7 linked regions of the Kluyveromyces lactis genome follow. The protein of the gene in region 6 interacts with the protein of the main gene of each other region in a biochemical or structural test. Links are inferred from orthologs where the notes say so. Each region holds a gene or a part of one and is shown on either strand. Other genes may lie near its edges.

Region 1 (4,239 bases), on a different chromosome or scaffold from region 6:
GATGATATATACACAGAACGTATGTATATAAGCAGAACATGCGGAAGGTCGTTATTCTCATTTAGCCCTTTGCAAACTATGTAGAGGCTTTCTCAGAAAAACTAGACTTGATAATATCTATTCATACACGGCCATTCAAACGAATTGATCTTCTTAGACCTTCTCCTAAGATTACTACCTTGTCTTCTTGTTGCAATCTTGTCAAAGCGTTTGATAATTCGATACTCTCCACTTTATCTTGCGATTGTTCGTTTATAAGCTTGCTTAGTTCGTTGAAACTTATTGTGTCTGTTGTCCTTTCTGTCAATATCTTTAAAATTTCTCTCGCCAAGTCTTCAAGCAATTTTCTTTGCACAACCGATTTACCAGTTTGTACAAGGTTCATATCAATTTTACCAGTTTTAGGATCCGTAGCGTAATCTTTGATGGCAGACTTTATCAGTCTCACTGCTTCTTCCACATCTTCAAGTTCAACTCTTTCACTTAACCTCATCTTAGCATGAGCTTCTGAAAGTCTAATCATACTTTCTAACTGTCTTGTTGTTGCGGTAATTCTTTTTTCATCTGATCTACTGTCATCACCCATCTTTCTCATACCGACATATGCCCTCACAAGTTCAGTCTTGGCTGACTCAGTTATTACCGGGTGAATGTTTTGTTTTGCATAGTTGATGTAGGCTGTCAAGAATTCAACTGGTAGAATATCACCTTGAGATACAGAATCCGGTCTGTCTTCCAGGTATAAACTGGTTAAATGCTTAGCGAGTTCACGATCAGACGCTTCGTTGACCTTGTCAAGCACTAGATAAACGAGATCAAATCTTGATAATAATGGAGGCGGCAAATCAATATTTTCAGTCACAGGAAGATTAGGATTGTACCTAGAGTTGATAGGATTGGCACTAGCCAGAATTGAAGTTCTAGCATTTAAAGTTGTAATAATACCTGCTTTTGCAATAGAGATTGTTTGTTGTTCCATAACTTCATGTAATACTGATCTAGTATTATCGTTCATCTTATCAAATTCATCAATACAACACACACCACCGTCAGAGAGAACTAAAGCACCACTTTCCAACACCAGTTGCTTAGTATCCACATCTCTTGTAACATAAGCAGTTAAACCAACAGCAGAGGAACCCTTACCCGAAGTGTAAACACCACGAGGAGCAATCTTATGAACATATTGTAAAATTTGAGATTTAGAGGTCGAAGGATCACCACATAGTAGAATATTAATGTCACCTCTATATCTTCCACCTTTCTTGAAAGTTTTATTAGCACCACCAAAGAGTTGTAATAAGATTCCCTTCTTGACGTCATCTAACTCGTAAATACTTGGTGCGATGGAACGTGACAAAACATCATAGACATCCGATCGGCGAGCAGTTTCTTTGATCCTCCTAATGTCTTCGCTACTCAAAGTTCTAATCTCTTCCACATTATCAATCTGGTTCTGCAAGAGTTGTTGTTCAACAGTAGAAGTGTCCACACCGACTCTATCTTTAGCCACCTTTTGGATATGAACCACATCGATGTATGTCTTGTATAGAGATTTGAGGGCTCTTTGCTTTGGATTCGACCTGATTGGAATAGATCTAAAGATACCTGAAACCTCAATTCTATCACCAGCACGACACGAATCAACCAGCTCATCATATACACATAGGGAAACAGAGTGTGGAGTTTGTCCATCAGGGACTAGATCAGGCGTTTCTTGTAACTTTATCACTTGTCTGTCTTGGAAAGTGCACCTATTGTGAACTAAAACCATGGAGTTTGGGCTATTACAGACCACTCTGGGACATCTCACTGGTTCTTGAATAATACCACGATCGATCTCAACTTCTACAGTATGATTGCATACGTTACATTTGAAAAATGCAACACTCATATCTGGGATAATAGGTGTGGATCTTAGAACTAAACCTTTGATACTCACCAATTTATCAATATCATTAGGATTAAGCTCTCTCATACCCTTTTTGGTTTCCACATTATATGGTCTCACTTTGAACAACTTCGATTCAATTTCATTCAAGTAACTCTCTAACCCATTATCAAGTGCTAAGGATACCATACAATCTTTAACAGTTTGATCCATAATAGCTATAATTTCTTGAGGGTAATAGAGAATCTGATGAAACAACTTTTCAGTATGTTTATAAGCCAGTAAATTTCTGATATCAAGGTTCAAGTTTGAAGTACCGAGTTGTCTCATTTGATTCAATTGATTCACATAATACAGCTCTTGGTCTGTTGTTTCGTTGATGAAAATCTCCTGATCATCTAGCTCCTTTCTATATTTCAACTTGAAAGACATCAAAAATTCTCTGAAACTGTTACCACACTCTTGGATCGAAACATTGGTACCCCAGATGATCTTCAAAGGTTGATCAGCAGCTTCAGATGCAGGTCTCGATGATGATGAAAATCCATTATCCGATGAGGAAAGGTTATTGAAAGTGACAATTCTTCTGGGAGATGATAAGTCAGATGCATTAATTTCGCCTCTTCTAGATCTAGAGTGTCTTCCCTCTCTTGCACTTGAGGATAGAGAGGATGAATAGTTCAATAGATCAGATCTCAAATTGTTAGATCTTAAACCACTGCTACTAGGAGCGGCGCGAGCCGTCTCTTGCGTGGCATTTGACGAAGACGAAGGATAGTGAAACGGAGAAGAGCCTACGCCTCGGTCTTGAGATGCCTGGGAATCCTGTGTACCATGAGGAGCTGGAGAAGAGCTAGGATCATAAAACAAATTTGGTGAACTTGGTTGTTGAGCTGGAGGTGAGGACATAATATTGTTAACCGTTTGTCTTCCTGTGTTCTATGGATATATACTGCCACTATTATCCAAATGCTAATTCAGCAATTTTATCAAACCTACTAAGCAGCTAAATAATCCTAGGTTCCCTGATATATCACCTTTCAATTGATAATGTTATCTTGTTTGAGATGCTTTGAGTGAACTAAGTGAAACTCGTTAAGATTTTACACATTTTTGGTTACATAGTTACATTTCCTAAAGAAGAAAACAGAACAAATTGAAATAAACAAGGTTCTAATGAGCCCTTGCCACCGTTGATAATACCATGGATCCACTCAGCTCAATGGTCAGTATCTTCGCCGATCAGAATTGGAGTTGCATTATTTGAAGAGGGAACAATGATCACGTGATGTACAATTGTTCTGTTTTAAAAGAAATTAACCTTTAAAATGAAATAAAGTGGTAACAAGAACTCTGTCAGAGGCGAGAGATAAGCGAACCACTTTCGCCAGTGTGACTCAATTCTTCTGCACAATATCATTATTCAACGTGAATTTATTGTACTTTCGTTTAGTTGTGTTTTTGTCCCGTTTGGAAACTGGTAAGAAGTGATGAATCCCACTGTTAGTGATGAACGAGATCGGGCAGAGAGAATTAGACTCAGCATAATGGGGCCTCAAACGAGGTCCAGTCGAATGAGCTATCGGATATCAAGGTTCAAGTCTACGCACACTCTGTACATACTATTACTTGCTTCTTTGGCTGTATTGCAGTTTATTTCCATAGCATTTTTCGCAAAAGGGTTCCTTTTAACAAGGACGGTGTTGGATAACGTTGCAGAACTTGATCCCCAGCTTCCCTTCGAAGCTAAATACGATAAGATGGTTTTACTAATAGTGGACGCATTGAGGTTTGATTTCGTTATTCCAGTAGATGAAAATCATGCCAAGTACAACCCTAATTATCATAACAATTTGAAAGTTCTTTATGAGACGGCCCATAACTCAACGGATTCTGTCTTGTTGAAGTTTTTGGCTGATCCTCCCACAACTACGCTACAAAGATTAAAGGGATTGACAACAGGTTCCTTGCCTACATTTATAGATGCAGGATCGAATTTCAATGGTGATGTGATCGATGAGGATAACTTAATAAAACAGCTTTATCTGCATAACAAGAAAATATTCTTTGCCGGTGATGACACTTGGGATGCCCTATTTAATCCGTATTTGGCTCCAGAAAGTGTACCATATGAATCCTTGAACGTTTGGGATTTAGACACAGTCGATAATGGGGTTATTTCTTACTTAGAGGAGTATTATTTCAATGAAGAGAAACGGTCTGAATACGATATCTTGATCGGACATATGTTAGGAGTTGATCATGTCGGACATAAGTACGGTCCTAATCATTTTACCATGAAGGAAAAACAGCTTCAAGTTGATGAGCTATTGCGGAAAATTATAAGC
Region 2 (3,698 bases), on a different chromosome or scaffold from region 6:
CTTCTCATTGTGTTTGTCGACTTTCCCATATTTACGCTTCTTACCTGACTGACTGCTACTGTCATCACTGCTATTACCAGTAGACATCTTACCAGCAAGCACGCCCTTTACATCATCCTGCGAAACACTTGGCATAGTGATATATACATATACTTGGCGCTACTACAGGAAGCTTATAGCAAGCTTACGTTCCAAACAGAAAAAAAAACATCTGATACCTACCATAAACCTTCCGGTTCATGGTTATATGGCAGAACGTTTCCCCAGGTCCGTTTGTCTTATATATCTGATTCAGAATCATGAATAATAATAATAATATTTGGCTATAAAAACCCTCGAGAAATCTAATTCAAGAAACTAAGGCAAGAAGAAACTACCTTTTAACAAGCCAAGAGAATAAACCAATGAGATAACCGAGATAGCTGGGACGTTTGAAGAATTTCCCTTAATTGATGGATCCCAGAAACTGACATTTGTGACATTTCCACAAGTGACGTTGGACATATTATTCAGTATTCGGTATGCTATAGACTATATAAGAGGGCTAATTAATATGCGTTAGTAGTGTGTAATTCCAGTTTTGCAATTGTCCCTTTCAGCCGGATCTGGGGAAAGGAAGTTTTGGGGACAAAAAAAGCGGTTCTAGGCGCGGTTTTCCGTGTAGTCAGCAAAAAAATTTGTGCAGTTATATCGGTTTATCGTAGGGAGAGTAAGGACCTGAAAGGATTTGTCCGGATGAAAGGCTAACGGGGAGAAGTCACAAGTCCGAATGGTGTATGGGTGGCGATGTTTGCCTGCTTCTTGCAATTTCACATGTGACAGATATATGAGTCAGCTGGACGGTTGCTGACAAGGATGATGACTCGACGGGGGGGGCGCCGGAAGGGGGAGATTCGCTGTAGTCACGTGGTTAGTGTTTAATTTTTGGTTTTGGTTTTCGTTTTCTCAGGGTAACCCTGGGTAGCTTGTGTTTTTCGTCCACGTGACCTGTAAACAAATGTCATTTTACAACTCTTCTCTGTTTATTATTTTCCACACATAAACGCGTATTTACACAGATATCCAATCCATCCTTCCTTCCTTCACATATGAATGGTGATGATGTGTCTAAAAAGCTGGAACAAAGGTGTAGATAGCTTCTTCTTCTTCTTCTTCTTCTTCCTCAATTCTCCCTGAAGTAGAGCAAACATGTCCGGCAAACCATTTCAAGGACTGGTGTTCTGTCCTACGTCTCTCCCGTTGTCGGTTTCTGATACCATCTCACATAAAGTGACAAAACTCGGTGGGACTTATACCAAGGATTTGACAAGACTAGTCAACGTATTGGTTGTTGGAGAGTTATTCACCGCAAAGTATAACTTTGCTGTCAAGAATAGAACTGATATCGTGTTTGTTAGTCCGGGATCCGTTGATCAGTTGTACGATGCGTGGCTCGCAGGAGAAGATCTGTTGCAGTTGGCTAAATTCGATATGTCCCAGTACTTAAAATCGAAGTACTCTATCGGGTCGTTTGAAAAATTTAACTTGTTCATTGGCAGAATACGACCTAATAACCATTATTCTCTTGAGTCGTTGGTTCAGTTGTGTAAATTGGGTAAAGTGAAATCGGTAGATACCACGCATTTCATTAGGAACTCTTCGTCATCCAATGCATGCATTTCGTTGTTTATTACCGATGATTTATCGGGGAACCGTGTCCAGGCTGCTTTAGAAGAGAACGTTCCCGTAGTGCATCCAAAATGGATCATTGATTGTATGGACAGATCAGGGACTCTAGACTTTCAATCTTTCTACCTGTTGAAAAATTGTCATGAACTTGAATACTCTGACATTGGTTCTGGTTCGTACATTCGTGACGTTCCAGATAAGAAAAAATCTGTAACTGAACCAAATCCCATGGGTGTACAAGATGATTCGGTGAATCCGTTGAAGATTGCTATAGATAAATTTAAGCCTCAAGCGAATCAGATATGGGGGAAACTATTGGCAAGAGATGGTGATGCTTCAGCGTCAAAGTCCACTGATATTAAGGAAGCCACCCCAACGCATCAAGAATGCCTTGGTGAGACAAAGGATACACCGACCTTCCTGGACTGTCACTTCGTGCTATTCAAGTTCGAAAAAAGACAGGTTACTATCTTATCTAATGTCATTCGCGGTAATAAAGGAACGTCTTCCCTCTTCGAGGATACATCACCGTCACCGGCACAGCTGAAGGATAAGACCATTTATTATATCTGTCCAAGTGGATTTCCGGCAAATCTACTGCCGAGAATCCCAAATGAATCATCGTGGTTGACAGAATTCTTCATCGAACGATGTTTGTATTACGAACAACTCCTACCTCCGGATTTTTGGTCAAAACCTTTCTACAACGATTTCAATATCATTCCACCTAAATCGGTGTTACATGGCCCTAAACTTTCCTTCCATATCACAGGGTTCCATGGCGTGGAATTACTACACATCAATAAAATTATAGACTTTTTGAAGTTGATTGGTTTTGACCATCATGAGAAATTGACGAAGAAGACGGATTTCTTACTCGTTAACATCTCCCAATTGACTTCAATACCACAGGAACATACTTTAAGGCAAAATAAGTACGCGTCAATGTTCAGGACAGATTTGGATATGAAGATCTCTGTAAATCAAGCTCAAATGTTTAGAAATTCAATGAAACGGAAAATTGAATTCGTTAAGCAAGCTCATCATATTCCCATCCTAACTCCAAGTTTTGTCATTGAACTCTTCCAAAGAGCAATGAAACCTAATAAGACTTCCATGAACATCTACTTTAATGACGTTAATTGGTGTATTTCTTGTCCCAAGGGTTCTAAATCTGACTTTGCACTACAAATAATTCCAAAGGAAAGAGGAAACGAGGATCCTTTGCTAGAGAAACCCGCTCCTGTTGATATTGCGGCACCTCTGTCAACTGCCTCTTCTGCATCAGCAGAACTACCTCATGTTCCAAATAGAGGGAACCGTTGGGGGAAACTTCTTTCAAATAATGTAGATACAGAGAATGAGGAATCAAGCTTTATCCAAACTGTAGGTCATGATAGTGACCATCTTTCGCATACTCAGATCACGTACGGATCAGCATCAACGTCGACATCTGTGCAGCAGAATTTGAAAAGAAGGAAGATTTCTACCAGAAGCCAAGCTAAAGACATCATTTCTCATGTTTCATAAATCTCATGTATTATTACGTCACGCCATATATATGTATGTATATATGTATACATATCCATTCGGATATTATCTGTAACAAGATCATTAACATTCTTATTCTGCTTAGAAGTGCCTCTAACTCCTAAATGTGTGTCATTTTTACGTGTCTGAACCTATATTCCAGATTTACTCTTCTGTGCATGCTTCCTTTAAAAGTGAAAATATTGACAAGTGTCATTCTACCTGTTTATTAAGCTCTAGATCAATGAAGGTTCAATAAAGGAAGTAAGTACAAGAAACGTATACAGGCTCGGGGATATCAGACCATGGATGCTTCTGGTGTAATTGATGAATTGAAACACCGGAAGGAAGCTTTCGTTACCGGACACTCCGGAAGTTCAATTGCAGATTTACGAGATGTCACATTAGCCGGTATTTTTTCTAACGCCGCTTGGATCTACGTCGTTTCGAACAATCCCAGCTACCGGGACTCCTTCTGGTTAGATTTCTTATTGAATTGG
Region 3 (4,060 bases), on a different chromosome or scaffold from region 6:
TTCCTTAGTGATATTATAACAGGTGTCCTCTGTAGCATTGATTCCCTGATTAGAGACATGGGTCCATATTTCATTTCGAATTCTTCTAGTTGTGTTAGCTCGTCTCTAGATAGTTCAGACCTTGAAAGGTCTGTCTTTGGAATATATGTATCGGCCATCGTGTTTTAGGTCAATTTTCTAGTATATGTAACAGACAAATCCTGAAGATAAGTCCTTGGCTTATGATATTTGCAATCTCGTAAGTTTGTGATAACTTGTCCTGATTGCCATATGATATGAGAGGTTCCTTCTTTGGTCATCTCATCATCTCATCCTGTGCATCAAACCCAATATACCATCCAGTTGTTTTCTTTCGGATTATCCAATTATCATTATCATTATCCGGGTAATCTTACACTATATAAATATCAACACATAGTCGCTGAAATTCCTTATACACAGTGGTACATATGAGTTATAGACAATGTTCAAGGAGGGGTTCCTGAATTTCATTTGCAACTTCATACTCCACTTCTATAAATATTCTGACCTTGATGTCTTAGTTGAATAGAATCATGTCTTTCTAACAGGTATAACGCCTTATCTAGCGCATATTGGGGAAGTTTCTTGTTCACAACGAATTCCCTTTGCAAAGTTTTGTAACTTGTAGACCATCCTATTGGCAACCTTCTTTTCAATTCAGATTCGATTCTTCTAATTTGTGAGAGCATTGTTGTATCATTTTCCTGGGAGTTGATAGGATCCTGAGAGGCAGCATCCATCGTAGAAGCTTGGAATAATCTAATGGCTTCATCAACATGTTTTTCGGTCGCTACTGGATTCAGTTCTAATTTAGCTAAAGATTCTGTGATACGAATTATGGCTTCTAATTGACGAACTGTGATTGGAATGGAAGACCTCTCATTGGAATGTCTTTCGGACTCTTGTAATTGTTTTCTAATAGTGATGAAATGAGAAGATAATTTTGTGGCTGCTTCAGGAGATAACCTGGGGGCACATTTTAACCTACAGTAACTAACATATCTCTTCATAGTTTCTATTGGAATTTCGTTGTTGGAGTTGGAATTATCATTTGGATCGTTTTGTTGAGTTCTTCCTGTGTGAATGTTCATGACGTGGTTCGCAATTTGGATATCTCTAGCTTCATTGTGATCATCTTTAACAATGAAGATCATATCGAATCTGGACAAGATGGTAGTTTGGAAATCAATGTTTTCACCCGGTGATTTCAAATCATCATATCTACCGTAAACAGGGTTTGCTGCAGCTAAGACACTAGTTCTAGAATTCAAAACGGTAGTGATACCGGCTTTAGCAATGGAAATAGTTTGTTGTTCCATGGCTTCATGGATGGCAACACGGTCCTCGTCTCTCATCTTGTCAAATTCGTCAATACAGACAACACCACCATCAGCAAGCACCATTGCACCTCCTTCTAGGTAAAATTCCCGTGTAGTTGGATCTCTTTGGACACTTGCCGTCAAACCAGCTGCAGAAGAACCTTTACCAGATGTATATACCGAAATCGGAGAAACTTTTTCCACAAATTTCAACAGTTGGGATTTTGCAGTACCAGGATCACCAAGCAGTAGCACGTTGATATCACCTCTTAGTCTCATACCATCTGGTAACAATTTCTTCGATCCGCCCATAAGGAGACAAACGATGGCTTTCTTGATATCAGTGTTACCATAGATACTGGGAGCAATTGAGTTGGCGAAAAGTTCATATAGATCTGGTCGTTGGGAAAGCTCCAAAAATTCTTGTTCTTCACTTTCCGAAAACATAGATAGAGAATTGTTTAACGGATTATTTGATAGGTGTTTGATCCCGATAACTTTCACGTAAGGGTTTCTGATCGCCACAGCTTTATTTCCAGAACTATTAATACTCTTATTCTTGGATTGGTAGATGGAATAAATACCAATAATGGTAACTCTTGTTCCTGGAACAACTTGGTTGGTCAAATATCTATCACATGTCATTAGTAAATTTCTAGGCAATTCACCAATTGGCACGGATTCCGGTAATTCTTGTAGTTTCAAAAACTGTTGGTCAATAAACTGTGACGATTCGTGTACGATTAAATATGGGTCAGGGCCACAAGAAGCTGCTGTTTCATCTGTTTCGTTGGAACGATCTGCAAGACACTCACGAGGTAACTGGACGTTATTGTTATTCAAATTCTGGAAATTGTTCAACTTCAAAGTTGTCATATGTTTACAGCTTCTACACATTAGCGATAACTGAGTGGCTCTTGATGTCAAGACACTGGATGAGATGATGATCCCTGTAATTCTGACGATCTTAGAAACGTGATCCGAATCCAAACTTCTTAATGGAATTTCCATAGAACTGGAATTTAAAATGAGCTGACATAGTGGGAAGTTCGACAACGCTGTCTCTGGATCAATATCAGAATCTTGCGATAACAAAACAATTCTCTTTGCCACTTGAGTTATTGCTTGTTCGAACAACGGGATAATATCTATCGGTTCATCCTGTAATTTTTTGTATAGATCTTCATTATATCCAATAAGATGCTCCGTATTCACGTCAAGGAAGTATTTATGAACCAACAGGTTATTTCTCAGTTGTTCTCTGTAAACGAAGTTGGAATCTAGTCTGAATTCCAGTATGAAACTCTTAAAAGATTTGATAATCTCTGAATTTTCATTGGAAGACAGTTCTTCACCTGCCAACACTCTAGTGGTATGGATCTCTGGTTTATCAAACGACATGGCCTGTCTTCAATTGACTTGTTGCCCTTGAAATTGTATAATACCTATCTCAGCAGTTTACTTAGAAACACAGACATGTAATACGGATACTCTTTAAGATGTATGATGTTTGTTGTAATTTAAGTCGCGATTGAATCCGGATATTCAAAACAGAATAAAATTCCAAATCAAAAAAAAAAAAAGCTTGATCTTCGCTTAACCTAATACGGAAAAGTAATTGATCGAACCGAAAGAAAAATAAATATGAAACAACACTTCTCAACACGTGACCCGGAAGGTTAAAATGCGGTTTTCTTTTTGCCTTGAGGGATTCAATTTAGGTGACGACGCGTTGCTCGAACAACCAACTGCACCGAATAAGGAAAGTCAATAAGGGTGCATTGCTTTCGTGGTTTGTTCTGATCTTAGAAATCGGAGAAACTTCGCTACACAGAATAACCGCTGAAATGTAATGAAAAATTCCTGCCACCTTACCAAAAGCGGCAAAAGGCCAAGCCAGGATAACTTAGCTATCTAGCAAAATCAAGCGTACTGATTTTTCAAGCCGTTCTTTAATCGGTCAAAAATGAAAGATGCAAAAAATCCGGTATTCAGCCATATTGGTGAAGAGGGGCAAGAGGAGACTGAATCCCGACTAAATTTTTCTACGACTTGAACTGAGTGAAACGGCTAGGAAAAACCTCATGATCGGTCACCAGACCAACAGCTGTTACAACAATATAAAGGTGGAGAGTAAATGTCACAAGAATGTTCTTAGAATTACTACAGACGAATCACTTTGCCTGTGCTTTCAACCGCACTGCAAAAAATGTTGAATGCATTCATCACAATTCAAGCCGCCAAAATCATTGAAAAATTATGGAAGCATTCTAGTCAGAAAATTTTTCTTTGATTTTGGGATTAGGAAATCATTGATTGAGCATTAGGTAAAAAATTTCAAGTCTGTTATTCATTTGTCCGCGCATCATCAGCTCCCTCTCTCTCTCCCAGTGTGTTCCTGATCTGATTCAGCACTAGACTCACCCGGCTTAGCGCCCTTATTAACCCCGTGTTGAGCTTGTGCGAACAGCCTGCAGAATATCATACGATTTAATGTTAACTACACTATGGGGAAAAAGCAAATTAGAAAAAAAGAAAAACAAGAAAAAAAATAGGCGCACGTCTAGAAAGTAATCGCGCTCATACACGCCTTACATGTAGATATCCCTCGCTCTTGCCACCCCATGCTTTATTATTAGCCATTCCAGTAAGATGAATCCAGCACTGAAACGTCAGTATCGAGCATTCAGTCATTGCCATGGCTAGAACTAGCTCTCAAA
Region 4 (4,124 bases), on a different chromosome or scaffold from region 6:
TTTCTTTCTGTTGTAAATACCAATCTACTATCTCAGTTTTTGTCATTTCAGGTTCTTCATTCTTTTCTCTGTCAACCACTTTCCGTACAATTAGATTCATCATTTCCACGTATTTATCATATGATATTGCGACTTTATGTGTTGTGTGATGAGCGTTGTCATGAGACTCTACGTCAGGACCACCCCCCGTTTCGGAGTCGGCGTTCAGTGGTTGAGAAGGTGACTGAGATTGTGTATCAAGTGTTTCGCCGAAGTGTTGTGTGGCAGGTATTGTGCCCTCACCCTCCGTACTTTCTTCTGGGGAGTTATCGTCATCTTCAATTTCAACGTCATCAACATCAACACGGATGATACTCTGTCTCAACAAATCGTACGCCTCAGCGACAAAGCTCGGAACAATTTCATCCACGCAATTAGCACGAGCAATAGCTTCACTTAATCTGATTAATGATTCCAGTTGTCTGACAGTTATACGGTACGAAGATTTACTGTACCCCTGCGCATCGTCTTTCCTTAGTTCTGTATATCTTTTGACTAGGTAGTCACGAGCTTCTTTAGTCATTACCGGCTTGAAAGTCTTGGCATAGTTGATATAACGACTCAATTGTTCTGCTGAGAATGGTGGATTAATAGCAGAGTCCCTCTTCATGTGCAAGTCTACGATGTGGGAAGCTAGCTCAGTATCGATCTTCTCATTGCAATCATCAAGAATGACAAAGAATAAATCGAATCTGGACATAATTGGTGCAGACATGTTCAAATTAGATCTTAAAGTCAGTTTCCTATTGTACCTACCGCCGACGGGATTAGCGGCAGCCAAAATTGAAGTTCTGGCATTTAATGTTGCATGAATACCAGCTTTGGCAATCGAAATGGTTTGCTGTTCCATGGCTTCATGAATAGCAACTTGATCTGCGATATCCATCTTGTCAAATTCGTCGATACAACAAACACCATTATCTGCCAACATTAACGCACCAGCTTCAATAGTGAAATCACCACCTTCTTCATCTTTCACCACAGCTGCAGTCAAACCAGCCGCTGAAGATGCTTTACCGGAAGTATAAACGGCTCTTGGAGAGAAGTTACAGACGTATTTTAGGAATTGAGATTTTGAGGTGGACGGATCACCAACGATACAAATATTAATGTCACCTCTCAATTTAATGCCTTCTACAGTAGTTTTATGAACACCGCTAAGCATTTGTAAAAGGATACCTTTCTTAATGGTTTCATGCCCGAAAACTGCTGGTGCAATCGATTTCACCAGTTTGTCATAAATATTCTCATCTTTCACCATCTCTTTTAATTCATTAATTTCGTCAGAATCAAGCCTTGTTAGGAAAATTTCTTGATCAGTTTCTGCCGCCATTTCATAGTTTTGATAGTTTCTCAAGTTAATATAATCAAATTTGGATGTCTTATCGGCGTCCTCCTCATTAATCCTACTACCATTGAAACTGGTACCAACATTTTCAACATGGCATGCCAAAAACGATATTTTGTAAGTTAAATCTCTAACACCTAATGATTTGAGCCCAGAAATACCTGAGTTCAATCCTTCCGTTGTCCGTGAGATACCTCTAGAATCTGGAGTCGAACTTGCTTTAACACCAGGCAAACCAAGTTGACTAACGTCTGGAACGACAATTTCAGTACCAATAAATTTACATCTATCACCTGGTTTAGCTCTTTCGACACAGTCACCACGAAGAATAATATCTAAGGTTCTTGGCATAGAACCGGATGGAATTTCATTGGAATTTTCTTGAATTCTTACCTTTTGCCAATCCAAGAATTTGGACCTGTTCACGTTTAATGACCAGAAAGATTGGTTCTCACATGTTGGATTTGGACAAGAGGTTGGTTCAGTGTACTTGAAAACTTGTTCCACATTGTCAATAACAGCTCGACACAATTCGCATGTAAAACTGGCTTTGTATAATTCTGGTCTAATTTCCGAAGTTCTCGTGACTGTGCCTGAAATAGCCATTAAAGAACCAATCTTATTAGCCCTAATATCTCTGATTCTATGGACAGTTGGGAGATTCAGGAAACTGATTTGCAAAACACGTTCAACCTGATCTGGATTAGTGGCAATGGTAGATGGGGCAGTGCCTCCTGCGGTGGCAGCCTGCGAAGTTGGCAAAGATGAATCTATTCTTTGCGAAGAGCGGTCCTGAGAATTCTCTTGAGATTGAGAAGGAAGTACAGAGTCAGATGTTAATAATAATCCAGGAGCGTACTTCTTCACCACATTTCTTAGCCCAGATAAAAGGAATGGCAAAAATCTGTAATACTGTTGTAAAATAGCAACCGCTAAAGCTCCGTCTTCCACCTCGGCCAAATGTTTATAGTCAACGTATATGGTATTCAATTCGTACCATCTCATATATTCAATTTGGACTCTATAAACCTTCTCCATCTCACCTGTTTCATCATTGAGGGCGGTGAAATTTGACAAGAAATGTTCGAATGCCTCTCTTACAGTTTCACCAGTTTTATCATCAACCTTTTTGATGGCATTCAAGTTTTTCTGCCTGATCCCGGCTAATGGAGTAATTTCTTGTGAATCATTTTCCATAGCCTCTATTTGTGATTCTGAATTAATGCCTTGCCTAGTGTCATCAGTACCGAAATGTCTATTTCCATCTGACACTCCTCTGGAAGAAGATGGAAACTGGGGAGTTCTGTTTCCTAACGACTGATCATCGAATTGTGAACTATCATAAGCACCTACACTAGAGGGAGGCTGGGATGATTGCTGACCATGTTGAAAAGGACTTGATGGTGCCGACATTGTTGCTGATTTTTTCAGCTTGCTCCAACTATGTCCGGTTTTGGATGAGCCGTTCAACCTGGATGCCCTTCACATTGAAGATCATGTTTTAAGTGTTTCAACATGTAAAATCATTTTTTTAATTTCTGAGTTAAGGCGATTCAATATTACTTTTCCTAAAGAGGTATTGCAAGTATCCAAAATTAGTTAACTGAGGTATAACACGAGGAAAACCATTGACTATCGACCATAACATATCGATAACCAATGCAGCAAAGTTCAATTTAATGGAATTTTTTCTTTTTGATTCGATAGGGAGAAGATAAAACATCGGTGAATTGATAATAAAAATTAATGATACGTAGGTAAGAATTCATCTTATTTAAGCGATATAAGTATATGGACGCGAGGATTTTAGAAAGCTGGCCAGGGATAAAATAGCCCCCCTGACAGTCAGTTGCATTAATGGTGAAGTGAAAATGAATCTAAAATCGAAAGAAAAGAAAAAAATGTAACCAGATAAAATAAACCGAAAATGTTAATGTGGACATAGGTCCACTGAAAAGCCGAATGGAAAAAGATTCAATCATTCTTGGTAATTGTAAGTATAATTGAAAAAGTTCATGAATTGCTGAGTTTCTCTGAAGTGCCTCTCACCCAGAGCGTACTCATTCATTTGTCTTTGTAAAGTAGTATTAATCTTAGGTTCATTCGAGTTATTCGTGAATTTCACTTCTTCTTCCATAGACATGCCTGCTTGCTCGATGTCGAGGGGGAGTACTTCCCAATCAGGATTTATTTGTGACTTTTGATCGGTAGATATGAAGTTCATTTCTTTATGGAGAACAGTATGTTCATGGGAGGATTGGGATGAGATAGACCGTACGGTGTCCAAAGCTGCATCTTCAACTGGTGATTTGTTCAATGAGGAGAATTCATCGAATGGTTGTGTACATTTGCGTAAATGAGTAGCTGTATTTTGAGATCCCGAATGAGGTATTAGTTGTGGTTGTCCTGTGAAGGGGACAGAGTTCGAGGGAGCGAGAGATGGGACACCGTTGCCATACACTTGGTTTTCGAAATGACCGTAATTCTGATTGTCGTTATGTTCATTGATATTTCCATTGATATTTCCATTGTAGTTTAGTGGTATTGAAGCCAGAGCAAAAGTGTTATCCAAAGCCAGGTCAGATATGGTTTGTTTGATGGGCGGGGAGGCAGAAGCCGGTTTAGAATACTCACTCGATAACTTCTTCCTATTTTCTGGCATGAAGTTGCTGATAGGCACCTTGGCTTCGCTGATAGTTGCTTGGTTGGAAATGAAACGTGACTGTCCATCAGAGGT
Region 5 (4,234 bases), about 360 kb from region 6:
TGGCCTCAATAATCGTGTTGATTTTTCTTACTAGTGGAAGTAGTTCAGCTCTTTCTGCAATTTTTCTTGCAGCAGATAGGGCCTTATCTTGCTTCAGTTCGTTGACGATTGAAACGGCCTTGTTAACATCTTGCTCGGAACAGACATAAGCTAAAAGTCGTAGTAAGGACTTATCATGTGTTGCTACCAGATGCTGTAATAGATCTGTTTCATTTCCGTATATCTCACCTTCATTATCCATCGTGTCTTTTAGTAAATCACTTAGTATCTTGGAGCGTAGAAATTCCTCTTCTGCTGCTAGGTACATTGGAATTTCGACACCATTACTGTTATCAATATCTTCCACATCGCTGCTGTCGTTACGATTATCGTCTTGTGTCTTTTGAAGCTCGGATTTTGATACAACTGGGATTCTGACTTCCATTTCTGTAGGAACGGTCATTGGGATATCTGGCCATGCGTTCTTCCCCTTCAATAATAAATACGAAAATGTATCGAAGTTTAATCCTAATGGCCAAACGTGGACGTTCTTCGGATGCTTACCCCCTGACATCTTCCAAAGTTCTAAATTGGTATCAACTATGGGTACCCATCTCGCGTCACTACCACTTCTCCATTTGGACAGAATTAACAAAACATTATCATGACCAAACATACACGGATCACCAAAGCTTGAGAAGAATAAGGATTTGATACCTAGGGGGTTGAATGAATTGAAAATATCATCGTATTTTAAAAATTCAATGTCTTCATCATCATTTCCCGGCTGATTCTGTTGAGGCAACGTTATTGGTAAGGGAGATTCTCTTTGGAAGTATTTATTGCCAGTTTGCGGATGTTGTTGGAACATCGAGTAAGTAATACCATGATATTGTGAGTAATGAATGGTGAACACTTTGTACTCATGAGCAGACAAAGCAACAATAGGTGACATTTTTTCTATTGCCAGTGGTAACCCAAAATCGTTATAAGTACGAAGATATCCGAGAGATGTTCCTACAATTACACGTTTAGGAGTACAGGCAATTGAAGTAACTCTTTCTTTGGAAAGTAAGGGAATCTTTTTAGTCCATGAATCTCCAGAGGGACTATGTGGCTTGTATTGAATTTGACCCATCTTCGACTGGCCCAATAGTATACCTTCATCGGTCAGTGAACAAAGGTCATATTTGAATAAATCGTCGAAATGATACTCACGGAATCGACTAACATCGAAAAAAGAGACCGTTATAGAATTGCTACCGCCTTCATTTCTTGTTGTCCATACATGACCTAGTTGGTTTATAGTAAGGTATCTTTTATCGCTATTCCCGAAAGGTGTCGCGCCTGTTGAAAATGGTCGGTATTGGAATTGAGCTGGTGGTTGGTAAATTCTGCGATGATTTACATGATTAGCTGTCAAAGAAGGAATTGATTGAACATGAGTTTTTGGTCTCTTATATTGTGCGGCCTCGCCATTATCATCCTCAATAAAATCATCTTCATTCTCGAAATTGTATGTACGCTTAGGTTCATGTTGATCCATTTCTGCATCTGTGAAAAGGTTGTCAGAGTTTATATCTTCACTAACCTCACCTTTGTCATCAGCTTTGTCGTTGTTTTCATATTTCGATCTTCTGTTATTATCATTCTTGGAAGGCTCGTAGAACTCAGGACCGTTGCTTGTTTGTTTAGATAAATCATCTATGTCACTATCGTCAAATAACTTTTCATCATCAGAGCCAACAAAAAGCTTACCACCGGTATTTGAATAAGCAACTGTAGTATTTACTGAAACAATGTCATTGAACGTGATAACATCGCCCGACCAAGTACCTGCTACCAAGCTAAGTTTGGTTCTCTGATCGTTTACTCTCCAAGACAAAGAAGTGATACTATACCTAAAGCTTTCGTGAACAAGCTGTGTACCAGTACTTAAATTCCAAATAAATAGATGAGAATTTTGGTTGGAATTACCGACTGCAGCGATTGTGTTTGAATGAATTTGGTCTATTGTAAGTGCGTCCCAGTTGTTAACGTGCACACTTGGCTTGAACGAGGTCACCAAATCATGATCTGATAATTTAAATAACTTAATGACACTATCTTTTGCTGGAATTGCATATTGGTCTCCTTTATTGGTCCATGCAACTCTAGTGCATGTTCTGTTATCTTCGCATAGCATAGGATCAAGTCCATCTATAGCGACTGAATCGGCGTTTTCAGTATTATTCTCAGTGTCCGCTGGTAGATCATCATTGAAGAATATCTTAGGTAGCTGATCATGCAATGTGTGGATTCTATTGGGTGTAGTAGAACTTAAAGAGTAGAATACAACGTTACCGTTACTGAGTGATACTGCTAGAATGTTATTTTGTTTGTTGTATGATAAACTAACCAGTTGTTCGTCCAAAGTTAATTTAACGTTTGAATTTCCCTCTTCTAATGCAACCAATGTCATTTCTAAATCATCCCCACCTACAACACATACTTTATCATCATGAACTAAGGCCAAATCACGCAATGGTAACGAGGATCTAAAGCATAACTTGTTCTTGTTTTCCAGTACATTGTACCAGTATAGGTCGCCATTGCGGGAAACAACATATAAACCATCAGCTGAATTTTGACTCAAAACAAATGCGCTTGGTTCTTCACAAATATCAATGATATCAGGTTCCTTCTCAAGATCAGTTAAATTAAGAACTTTCACCAATGCGTTCTTATTTAAAGTGAAAAGTCGAGAACTGTCACTACTCAACCGTGCCTGGGTGTTCCCACCAGCAACAAATACCCTATTTTCAGTTAGTTTAATTGCCATTGGATGTTTCTGGGTATGTCTGAAGGAAACTATTCACTAATATACTGAGAACTGAGCTTTTTTCAGTGCATCTTATAGATTTCAAGCAAGTTGTGTCTCATCTTCTACTTGTTAAATCACCAAGACGCGTTTTTTCTGTTAAAAATACACGTTAGCTAAGAAGACAGAAATGAAACACAGAACTAGCACCATCAAGTATTAGTTGACACTGTTATAGTAGTGACAGTGCAGTGCATGCAATTGCCACAAGGTAAGGATGAGGTATTGGACCAAAAGTATCTAAACATTCTTGATTATAGATTTACTTATCTTAAGGAAAATTAGTCACGTGATGCGCAGTAATCATATCACCCTTATTCATCTGTATTGCACCATCAGTTTAGTAAGTGTGTTCCGAAAACTACCCATTCAAACACATGTATCGGTCTTTGCCCTTGTTATATACATGTATTTTTCTAACTATCAATTCTATTCAGCGTTCAAGATATTTAAAGGTACGAATCGATCCTTATATTCGAACGATCATTACCAGAAAAACGGAACAAGAGCGAAAAGAGAGGGAAAGTACTGTGTGAAACTACTCTCACCCAGCGATGACCGACCTAAATGATGATTTGGATCTACCAGTAACTAAAGAACTAAGCAGAGAGTTAGTTTCCAATTTTGTACGGAAGAATGGCTGCTTAGATATAGATAAGCTATTACTTGAGAATAACTTCCAATACGTATCGTTAGACGAACTCTCATATGAAGTATCTGCCTTGAAGCAATCAATGGAACAAACTATACTGGATGAAATCAATGACAATTATCCCGAGTACATGGAAATATGTGACAGGTTTAATACTAGTGACAATAACGAGGTGTTGAATAAGTTAAAACAAGTCTTGAATGATCTACAACAGTTCAACAAGCAATTACTCCAACTTTGTGATTCCTCAGTGGCTGAAACTAGAGAAAAAACAGTAACAGCATTATCCTACCTAAAATCGCTTGATAACCTATTTGGTAAACTGGACGATATCACAAAGCTATCAGAATCGCTAAAGATATGCCAGCAACTTGTATCATCCTTACAGTCTATGGTGCAGCTGAATATCGACGACGAGCTTTCCTTCACAGTGGCAAAGCAGCTCTCTACTATACTAATACGTTGTGACTACAGATTTAGACATTTGGAAGACAATGATTCCACCCTAATTACTCGAATGAGAAACGACTTTAAAAGTATTCTCGAGACCGCAAAGCCTTTAATTAAACCCGTTCTCGAGAAGCAGAACCAGCAAACTCAAACCATAAAAACTTAAATATATGATAAATGCGAACCCAATTCAAATAAAGTGAGATTCCACCCCCTAGGTGGAAGCGAGTCTACGCTATGAGTATCCTTACGTAAATGTGTATAACATCTCTGACTTTGAGCCTCATCTCATC
Region 6 (2,531 bases):
TGAATACCGAAATGGTCATAAGAGGTGAAATAGTGTTGTTCATACTCGTTCAATTCTTTTTTCTGCGTAGCAGAATCAGTGACATCAGTCTTGGACATCCTTTATTTTATTAGCTTTACAATTAGGAAAGATATGCTCAACAATTAGACTAAAGATGAAACACAAGTCTTGGTATATGTATGGTGACAAATATTATATCCCAATAAGCTGTACACTATACTCAATGCAATCAAACCAATAACCGTTCTAACAAGTTGGTTCCAGATCAAGTACTGTTCTGTTACTTATGCCTCGTTGCCTTAAATACAAAACTGAAAAATTTTTGAAGGCGATGAGCTGCAAGAAAAAGAAATCCAAAAAGAAATCGTGCATTCCCCATAGTGAAAGTGAGGTAAAGCTAGTTAGTTGCATTTGGAACGGTTGCATCAGCAATATCACCAGCAATGATATCTACAGAATTGCAATGAAAGGTGCAGAATTCGGCGAAAAAAGCTGCCTTGCTATATCTTCTGCAGATATCCTTGTTGTATAAGTCTTTCGACGTCGGATTGTCTGACGAAAAATTGGGAATCTTTAATCAGGTTGAATACACCGTACTCTGTTTCTATTTGTCCTGCATCTTTCAATACTCGTACGTCGATGAACACATCGCTCGGCGGTTGTAACATCCCAGTCAAATCGATTTCTGAGAGTTCTCCCGATTTCAATTCGGTAAGTAGTTGTGCATACTCTTTGAGATACTCTTGTTCTGCATGTGATAAAACAGAGGAATCAAACGATGATAGATTCGGGTGGTTTGATATGGCAGAAGAAAATTCCATCCCGTTGTTATCCCAAACCATTGAGTCTAGCATCTCACTTCTCATCTTTTGGTATGCTAATAGACATCTTTTGTTTCTTTCCATCGAAAGCATAGCAACGACGTACTGGCATTGAGCGACTTTGTTATCCTGATCAGTAAGCTGCTGTTCTCGTAGGTAATCCACGTTCTTCTTGAGGGATCCAACCTCTTTCAGGATGCCACGGACTAGCTCGTCTTGATATACTGGTAATTGCTGTTTGTTGAATCCAGCTTGAGATAACTGTTGCGTTCTCTTTGCTTCTAGTATCAACTTGTTAGCGAGATCTCCGTACATTTTCGGTACTATGGCAATGATAATCAAAACCAATGACTTGAATCCAGTTCCAGGTCTTTTAGCACGTTCTTTTCCCTCTGTGTTATCTCTGTAAAAGTTGTTCATAGCTTTTCTCTTCTCTAGATTGAAATCGCTTTGAGGAAAACACGTAAAATTTAAGGACTTTAACGTGAAACGATACTGTTTAGACGCGAACAAATTACAACAAAGAAAACAAGGGGAAGCAAACCAACAAAGCCCATTGGGAGGTTCTGATAAATGAAGACGAGAGTTTATGGTCACTATGGGAAATTTCAAGCCTTGGCGAGGCGACATTTGAATAAAAAAGACAATGAGTTAAGCGATGAGGACAATTTCACTTCAACTGACGAGGAAGAAACAAGTTTATCAACAGATTTAGATAGAACTTATGAGACTTCTCCCATGGCTCCTGTCAGAGAAGAGTATGTGTCTTCCTCTCATAAATACGAGTCATTTGAAAACCGTGATTCAAAGACAATTGAAGCTGATCCATTCGATATTTTGGATGGTATGGGGTCGACATCTATGAAGAAGAAACGTAAAGTGACAAGGCTTCATAAACGAATAACAGTCGACAATGACGATATGAAAGATGTTGAAGAAGCTGTTGATAATGATTCTGAGATTCATGAGTTTCAAAGTACAATTGACAGTATCTCCTCGATGATTTCGTCATTGAAAGACTCCGACGATGTAATATCGACTTATAGCCAAATTCAATGTCTTAAAGTGGTCTCCACTTCAGCAGTGAGCCAGGTGAGATACGGAAGAACACGTACATTATTGAAAAAAGAGTTTCAAAGTGATGAAGAGCTACAAGAAGAAGCATCAAATGTCGATGAGGATGATGAAAATAATGAAGGTATTTTGGATGCTCAACATCACAATACTTCTTTTAATGATTCCAATTCCGTCATTCACGTTAATCAATTAAAAACACTCGGAGAAGGGCTTAAGTTCGAAGATGATCTGGATTTCTTACCATTCACTACTAGTGATGAAAAGTTATTTGTCGTAAAACTGATTAGCTGTTGTTTACTATTACTCAACAATACAGAGTTGACAAGTTATACTCAAAAGTATAAAAGCAATGAAGTATGGAACTGGTTTTTGCAGCAAATTAACCCTGAGAACAATGTCATGAGTTATTTACAACTTTGGATTGCTAATTTAGTACCACTGCCGCGAAGTGCCCCTCAATGGCAACAGTTATCACCTCTCCTAATGACTTGTTCCTCTCTTACAGAAAATCCAAAACTTATTGAGGGTTCAAAGATTACGAAATTAAACTACACGGATTTTGTTCAGCGGGCTGAAACAAATCCCCAAGATCTCACATTTACACTATGGGAGTTTCACCTAGACCCAAACAGT
Region 7 (4,264 bases), on a different chromosome or scaffold from region 6:
TGAAGGTTGAAGTAATCATTATTTAAGTCTATTAGTTACAAATTTGTATATTATGCTAATATAAGCGATGTAGTACTGCATCTATAATGGAAAAAATGGGAACGGTATATTGTTGTTCTGAGCTTATAGAATTGTTTTCTTCCGTTGGAAATGTTGAATCTTGATTTCACATTGTTCCCATAGTATAAACAGCGAAAGATCTTTGTAGTTGGCGACGTACACTAATCTTTTGTGCACCCACAAAACTGTCCACTGTTACTTTAATTGCTCTGTCTAAATCCCATGAGGAAACGAATTCTGATAATCTCATTTTCGCGAAGGCTTCAGCAATTCTTAAGATAGATTCCAAATGACGAACGGTGATCGGGAATGAACCAGTAGTGACACTCTCTCGTCTCAAATCAGCATAAACCCTACTCACTTTGTCCATATCCATTTGATGTAACTTAGGGTAAACTTTAGTTCTTGCGTAATGAATATACTTCATTAGCATATGCTGAGATATGGGCGAAATTTCTTCTTCTCTTTTACGAAGGTTCTGCAAGCGTCTTTGTTTGGCAGATAACGGAGTTTCTTCATCACCCTCCCCATTAGGATTTTCCGTTGGAACGTTACCATCATCAAAATCATCCAGATCCTTGTCTGGATGAGACCTGATATGTGAATCAACGACGAAAGATGCTAGCCGATTATCACTTTCTTCATCAACCAAATCTCTTACCACGCAGAGGATATCGAATCTTGACAAAATTGGTTCAGTCAAATTGACATTTTGTGATAACGGAAGAGTAGAGTTGTAACGACCACCGATCGGGTTGGCGGCAGCTAAAATAGAGCATCTGGCTTGTAACGTGGTAACGATACCTGCCTTAGAGATGGATATACTTTGCTGTTCCATTGCTTCGTGAATAGAAGTACGATCCTGATCGTTCATCTTATCGAATTCATCAATCAAACAAACACCCTTATCCGCAAGCACTAACGCACCACCTTCAAGAGTCCACTCTTTAGTTATTTGGTCCTTCCTGACAGAAGCTGTCAAACCGACTGCAGAAGCACCTTGACCTGTAGCGAAGACAGCTCTGTTGGCAGTTTTTTCCACGTATTTCAAAATTTGGGACTTGGCAGTACCTGGATCACCGAGAAGTAGAATGTTTATGTCACCACGGATGGAATGCTTACCGTTAATGTTTTTAGGAACACCTCCGAATAAAGAACATGCAATTGCTGTCTTGATATCCCTGTGCCCATAAATAGATGGAGCCATTGATGAAATGATTTTATCGATGATTCCTCTGTCACGAGACATCTTTCTGAATTCACGCTCTTCGTCTTCTGTCCAACTGAAGGCATCCAGCCCTTCGTGTTCATCACCATCATGCAATCCGCCTTCTCTTCTCTTCACTGAATTGGCTTCCAGTACTGTTGCGAAAACGGGGAACCCGTTCTTTGCATTCAAATTACCGTCATATGTGTTCTTATAGATTCCTGTCACTTCGACTTCTTCACCAGGTTTTGCGATATCAACCAAGTCCCACAACAAAATGACTTCTCTGTGACGTGGTAATCTACCGGCTGGAACAGACCCTGGTGATTCTTGGATGGTGATTCTTTGGTAATTACGGTACAGAGTTTTTTCCATATTAATTCTGAAGGGACCCTTAGATCTACAATTTGTGCAGAACGAGATTTTAATTTCTTCATTTGAATCCTGATAGTAAGGCCCAAGTGTGGCACCACATTTCAAACAGTTGAATTTAACGTATTTAAGTTGTGGGAAGACACCAGTTCTTCTTGTCACGACACCACTAACTCTAACTAAAGAATTCAAATGAGTTTCACGTAAAGCACGTAAGTTCAATATACTAGGGAAATCCGAGATTCTTACGTGAATTTCCGAGTGAATACGAGTATAATCGGGATAGTGTAGTTGTGTAGCTTCCATAGCCACTGTATCAAATATTTTCAACATTTCTTCGGGAGATTTGGCTAAAAATAGGGCTAGAATGGCCTTGGATTCTACCAAATGTCTATAATTAACTTCCAAGGATTCAGAGTTCATTTCACCGAGAGTTCTGATACGAGCACCGTAAACGGATTTACCTGACTCATCAGTATATTCAAGCAAAAACGATTTCAACTCTCTGGCAATAGTACGTGATACATTCGGTTGAGTGATCCATTCAGAATAACTTGATGCCTTCACATCTGCCAAAGATTCCAACGAGAGCTCATCTGCCAACGGATCTATATCCATATCTGATAACAAATCATCATCTGCTTCTTCGTATTGACGTCTTCTACGTCTCCTCTGTACTGGAAGACCCATAGCATCCAAATTATGCGCACCAGCTCCTTCGCCATCATCATCATCAAGGTATGCTGTGTTCCTATGCACCAAACGATCTCTCTCGTTCAATTGTGCATCGATTCTTCTACGCTCAGCGAGCGACAACTCTTGCTGCTCCTGGTCGTCGACTCCTCTTCTTTCATACGTATCATGTTCTGTGTTTGAAGCGTAATCACGGTACATATCATCACCCATCAAATCGACTTCATTCATTCTTTCTTCCACATCTTCAAGATCCTCTTGAACATTGACAGCTTCATCTCCATCGTTATCTGGATTCTCAAAATCTATCTCATCTGGAGATCCAAGCGGGTCTTCAAACTGTGGAGAACTAGGGATGTTAGCGCCACCTTCACGGGGTTGTGTAGACAAAGAATCATCCTCATCCTCATCATCATCAGCTCTTCTTCTTCTCCTCCTTCCGTTATTTATTTCATCATTATCAGACATCTTGAAACACTTTCAAAAACAGCAATTAATAATCTTCAATTATCGCACTACCAAATCCGATCACACAATTGTCTTCCTGATGCTTCGATGACCTACTTGTTACACTTTGTTTCAGACCATTGGGATCTAAAGCTATCTTAAGATCTTAACGTTTTTTCCGGCTTTTTTCTTCAGTTGAATGTACGAAAATGATCTTTAATTGAAACAATAACATTTCCTAAAATGGTGTTTTGCAACGATCTGACCATTGTAGAGCGTTGGGGCTAATAATACAGCAATGGCAATATTCCAATAACACCAATCGGTAGTTCTCACCTCTTTTAGCTTTGCAATCTACATTTGATTAGTATAATTTCTTTATTATGATGCGTGGATCACGTGATAATCACATGGGATCATACGCTTAAAAACCGTACTTATAGCTCCAATCACACGATGAAGCAACACAATTGCAGGTAAAGTATGGATGTTGAAGCTCTGGAATGATGTGATGCATTTTGTGCCCCATATTAGATCGATTTCCATCCGGTAACCGTCCAAATGTGTCGATATTGACGTAAAATCATACGGAATATTGATTCATCGACATGGAAAATCTCTTACTATCAATGAAATATCCCCAAATTTAAACATAAGGAACACGTCAAGTTAAAGGCAAAAAGGGTACCTTCATTCACGCATTTCTTACTACAAGGTGAGTTCTGGCACTTAAAGATAGTCTTGTTGGTGTTAGGGAATGAGCGAGATTAGCGTTAAAGAATATGTGAAGCGACAGGAGGAACTGGAAGATGAAGCAAATAAACTGATGCCATATGATCCAAGCCATTGCACTTATTCCATGGGCCCAATTCGACAGCCAATATTCGCATGTCGTACTTGCAACAGTATAGGAGTGTGCTATTCATGCTCTATTCAGTGTCACAGTACCTGTGACTTGGTGGAACTTTTCGATAAGAGGAATTTCAGTTGCGATTGCGGTACAGAAAGGCAGTTTGAACACGGTGAGAAGTTCACACCTTGTAATATAAGAAAGAATACTACACCAGATATACCAGACATGAGTAACAGGTATGGCCAGAATTTCAAAGGGTTATTTTGCTCTTGCCATAGAGAGTATGACCCGAATACAACGACAACGATGTTACAATGCGTCCTTGGCTTGGAGTGCAATGAGGACTGGTTTCATGATCACTGCATTCTAGGGATAGAAGAAAACCCAGACCCGGTTACAGAAGACAGAAAGCTACCAGGATTCCCTGAACTGTCAAGTTTCGAAGGATTTATCTCATGGGTTTGTATTGACAAGTACAGCTCGATATTTGAAAAGCTTTTATCACACGAAGCGTGTGATAAAATCATAGCACATAAAGTGTACAGGAGAGATCTGGTATCGGATCAGAACTCCGAGGGAATGACATTGGAAAGTACCAAGAAAAGAGGGCTAGAAGAAATGGAAAACTCTTC

The links.
Region 1: the proteins of PSF1 (region 6) and MCM4 form a complex in vitro, tested with the Saccharomyces cerevisiae proteins (2 studies listed by BioGRID). The link is inferred for Kluyveromyces lactis from reciprocal best matches to the Saccharomyces cerevisiae genes PSF1 and MCM4.
Region 2: the proteins of PSF1 (region 6) and DPB11 form a complex in vitro, tested with the Saccharomyces cerevisiae proteins (2 studies listed by BioGRID). The link is inferred for Kluyveromyces lactis from reciprocal best matches to the Saccharomyces cerevisiae genes PSF1 and DPB11.
Region 3: the proteins of PSF1 (region 6) and MCM5 form a complex in vitro, tested with the Saccharomyces cerevisiae proteins (2 studies listed by BioGRID). The link is inferred for Kluyveromyces lactis from reciprocal best matches to the Saccharomyces cerevisiae genes PSF1 and MCM5.
Region 4: the proteins of PSF1 (region 6) and MCM6 form a complex in vitro, tested with the Saccharomyces cerevisiae proteins (2 studies listed by BioGRID). The link is inferred for Kluyveromyces lactis from reciprocal best matches to the Saccharomyces cerevisiae genes PSF1 and MCM6.
Region 5: the proteins of PSF1 (region 6) and CTF4 form a complex in vitro, tested with the Saccharomyces cerevisiae proteins (4 studies listed by BioGRID, with this or other methods). The link is inferred for Kluyveromyces lactis from reciprocal best matches to the Saccharomyces cerevisiae genes PSF1 and CTF4.
Region 7: the proteins of PSF1 (region 6) and MCM2 form a complex in vitro, tested with the Saccharomyces cerevisiae proteins (2 studies listed by BioGRID). The link is inferred for Kluyveromyces lactis from reciprocal best matches to the Saccharomyces cerevisiae genes PSF1 and MCM2.

The regions. Positions count from the first base shown.
Region 1 is NC_006039.1:1,537,586-1,541,824, forward strand, and holds MCM4 (MCM DNA helicase complex subunit MCM4), read right to left. Parts: upstream 2,801-4,239; coding exon 122-2,800; downstream 1-121. Other genes in the region: mannose-ethanolamine phosphotransferase GPI13, read left to right, coding at 3,382-4,239. UniProt on the Saccharomyces cerevisiae protein: Acts as a component of the MCM2-7 complex (MCM complex) which is the putative replicative helicase essential for 'once per cell cycle' DNA replication initiation and elongation in eukaryotic cells.
Region 2 is NC_006042.1:1,325,362-1,329,059, reverse strand, and holds DPB11 (protein kinase activating protein DPB11), read left to right. Parts: upstream 1-1,188; coding exon 1,189-3,198; downstream 3,199-3,698. Other genes in the region: SIP4 (Sip4p), read right to left, coding at 1-135; GWT1 (glucosaminyl-phosphotidylinositol O-acyltransferase), read left to right, coding at 3,504-3,698. UniProt on the Saccharomyces cerevisiae protein: Has a role in the initiation of DNA replication. Required at S-phase checkpoint. Required for the association of PSF1 with origins. Also required for the proper activation of RAD53 in response to DNA damage and replication blocks.
Region 3 is NC_006040.1:778,954-783,013, reverse strand, and holds MCM5 (MCM DNA helicase complex subunit MCM5), read right to left. Parts: upstream 2,742-4,060; coding exon 501-2,741; downstream 1-500. Other genes in the region: mRNA splicing protein SMD2, read right to left, coding at 1-158. UniProt on the Saccharomyces cerevisiae protein: Acts as a component of the MCM2-7 complex (MCM complex) which is the putative replicative helicase essential for 'once per cell cycle' DNA replication initiation and elongation in eukaryotic cells.
Region 4 is NC_006042.1:935,830-939,953, forward strand, and holds the start of MCM6 (MCM DNA helicase complex subunit MCM6), read right to left. Parts: upstream 2,801-4,124; coding exon 1-2,800. Other genes in the region: KLLA0_F10109g (C2H2-type zinc finger protein), read right to left, coding at 3,366-4,124. UniProt on the Saccharomyces cerevisiae protein: Acts as a component of the MCM2-7 complex (MCM complex) which is the putative replicative helicase essential for 'once per cell cycle' DNA replication initiation and elongation in eukaryotic cells.
Region 5 is NC_006038.1:972,859-977,092, forward strand, and holds the start of CTF4 (chromatin-binding protein CTF4), read right to left. Parts: upstream 2,801-4,234; coding exon 1-2,800. Other genes in the region: Golgi transport complex subunit COG2, read left to right, coding at 3,394-4,107. UniProt on the Saccharomyces cerevisiae protein: Accessory factor for DNA replication. It plays a role in accurately duplicating the genome in vivo.
Region 6 is NC_006038.1:615,935-618,465, reverse strand, and holds PSF1 (DNA replication protein PSF1), read right to left. Parts: upstream 1,137-2,531; coding exon 501-1,136; downstream 1-500. Other genes in the region: protein-arginine omega-N methyltransferase HMT1, read right to left, coding at 1-98; RAD61 (Rad61p), read left to right, coding at 1,395-2,531. UniProt on the Saccharomyces cerevisiae protein: Required for DNA replication. Functions as part of the GINS complex which plays an essential role in the initiation of DNA replication by binding to DNA replication origins and facilitating the assembly of the DNA replication machinery.
Region 7 is NC_006042.1:1,165,544-1,169,807, forward strand, and holds MCM2 (MCM DNA helicase complex subunit MCM2), read right to left. Parts: upstream 2,801-4,264; coding exon 167-2,800; downstream 1-166. Other genes in the region: KLLA0_F12606g (uncharacterized protein), read left to right, coding at 3,537-4,264. UniProt on the Saccharomyces cerevisiae protein: Acts as a component of the MCM2-7 complex (MCM complex) which is the putative replicative helicase essential for 'once per cell cycle' DNA replication initiation and elongation in eukaryotic cells.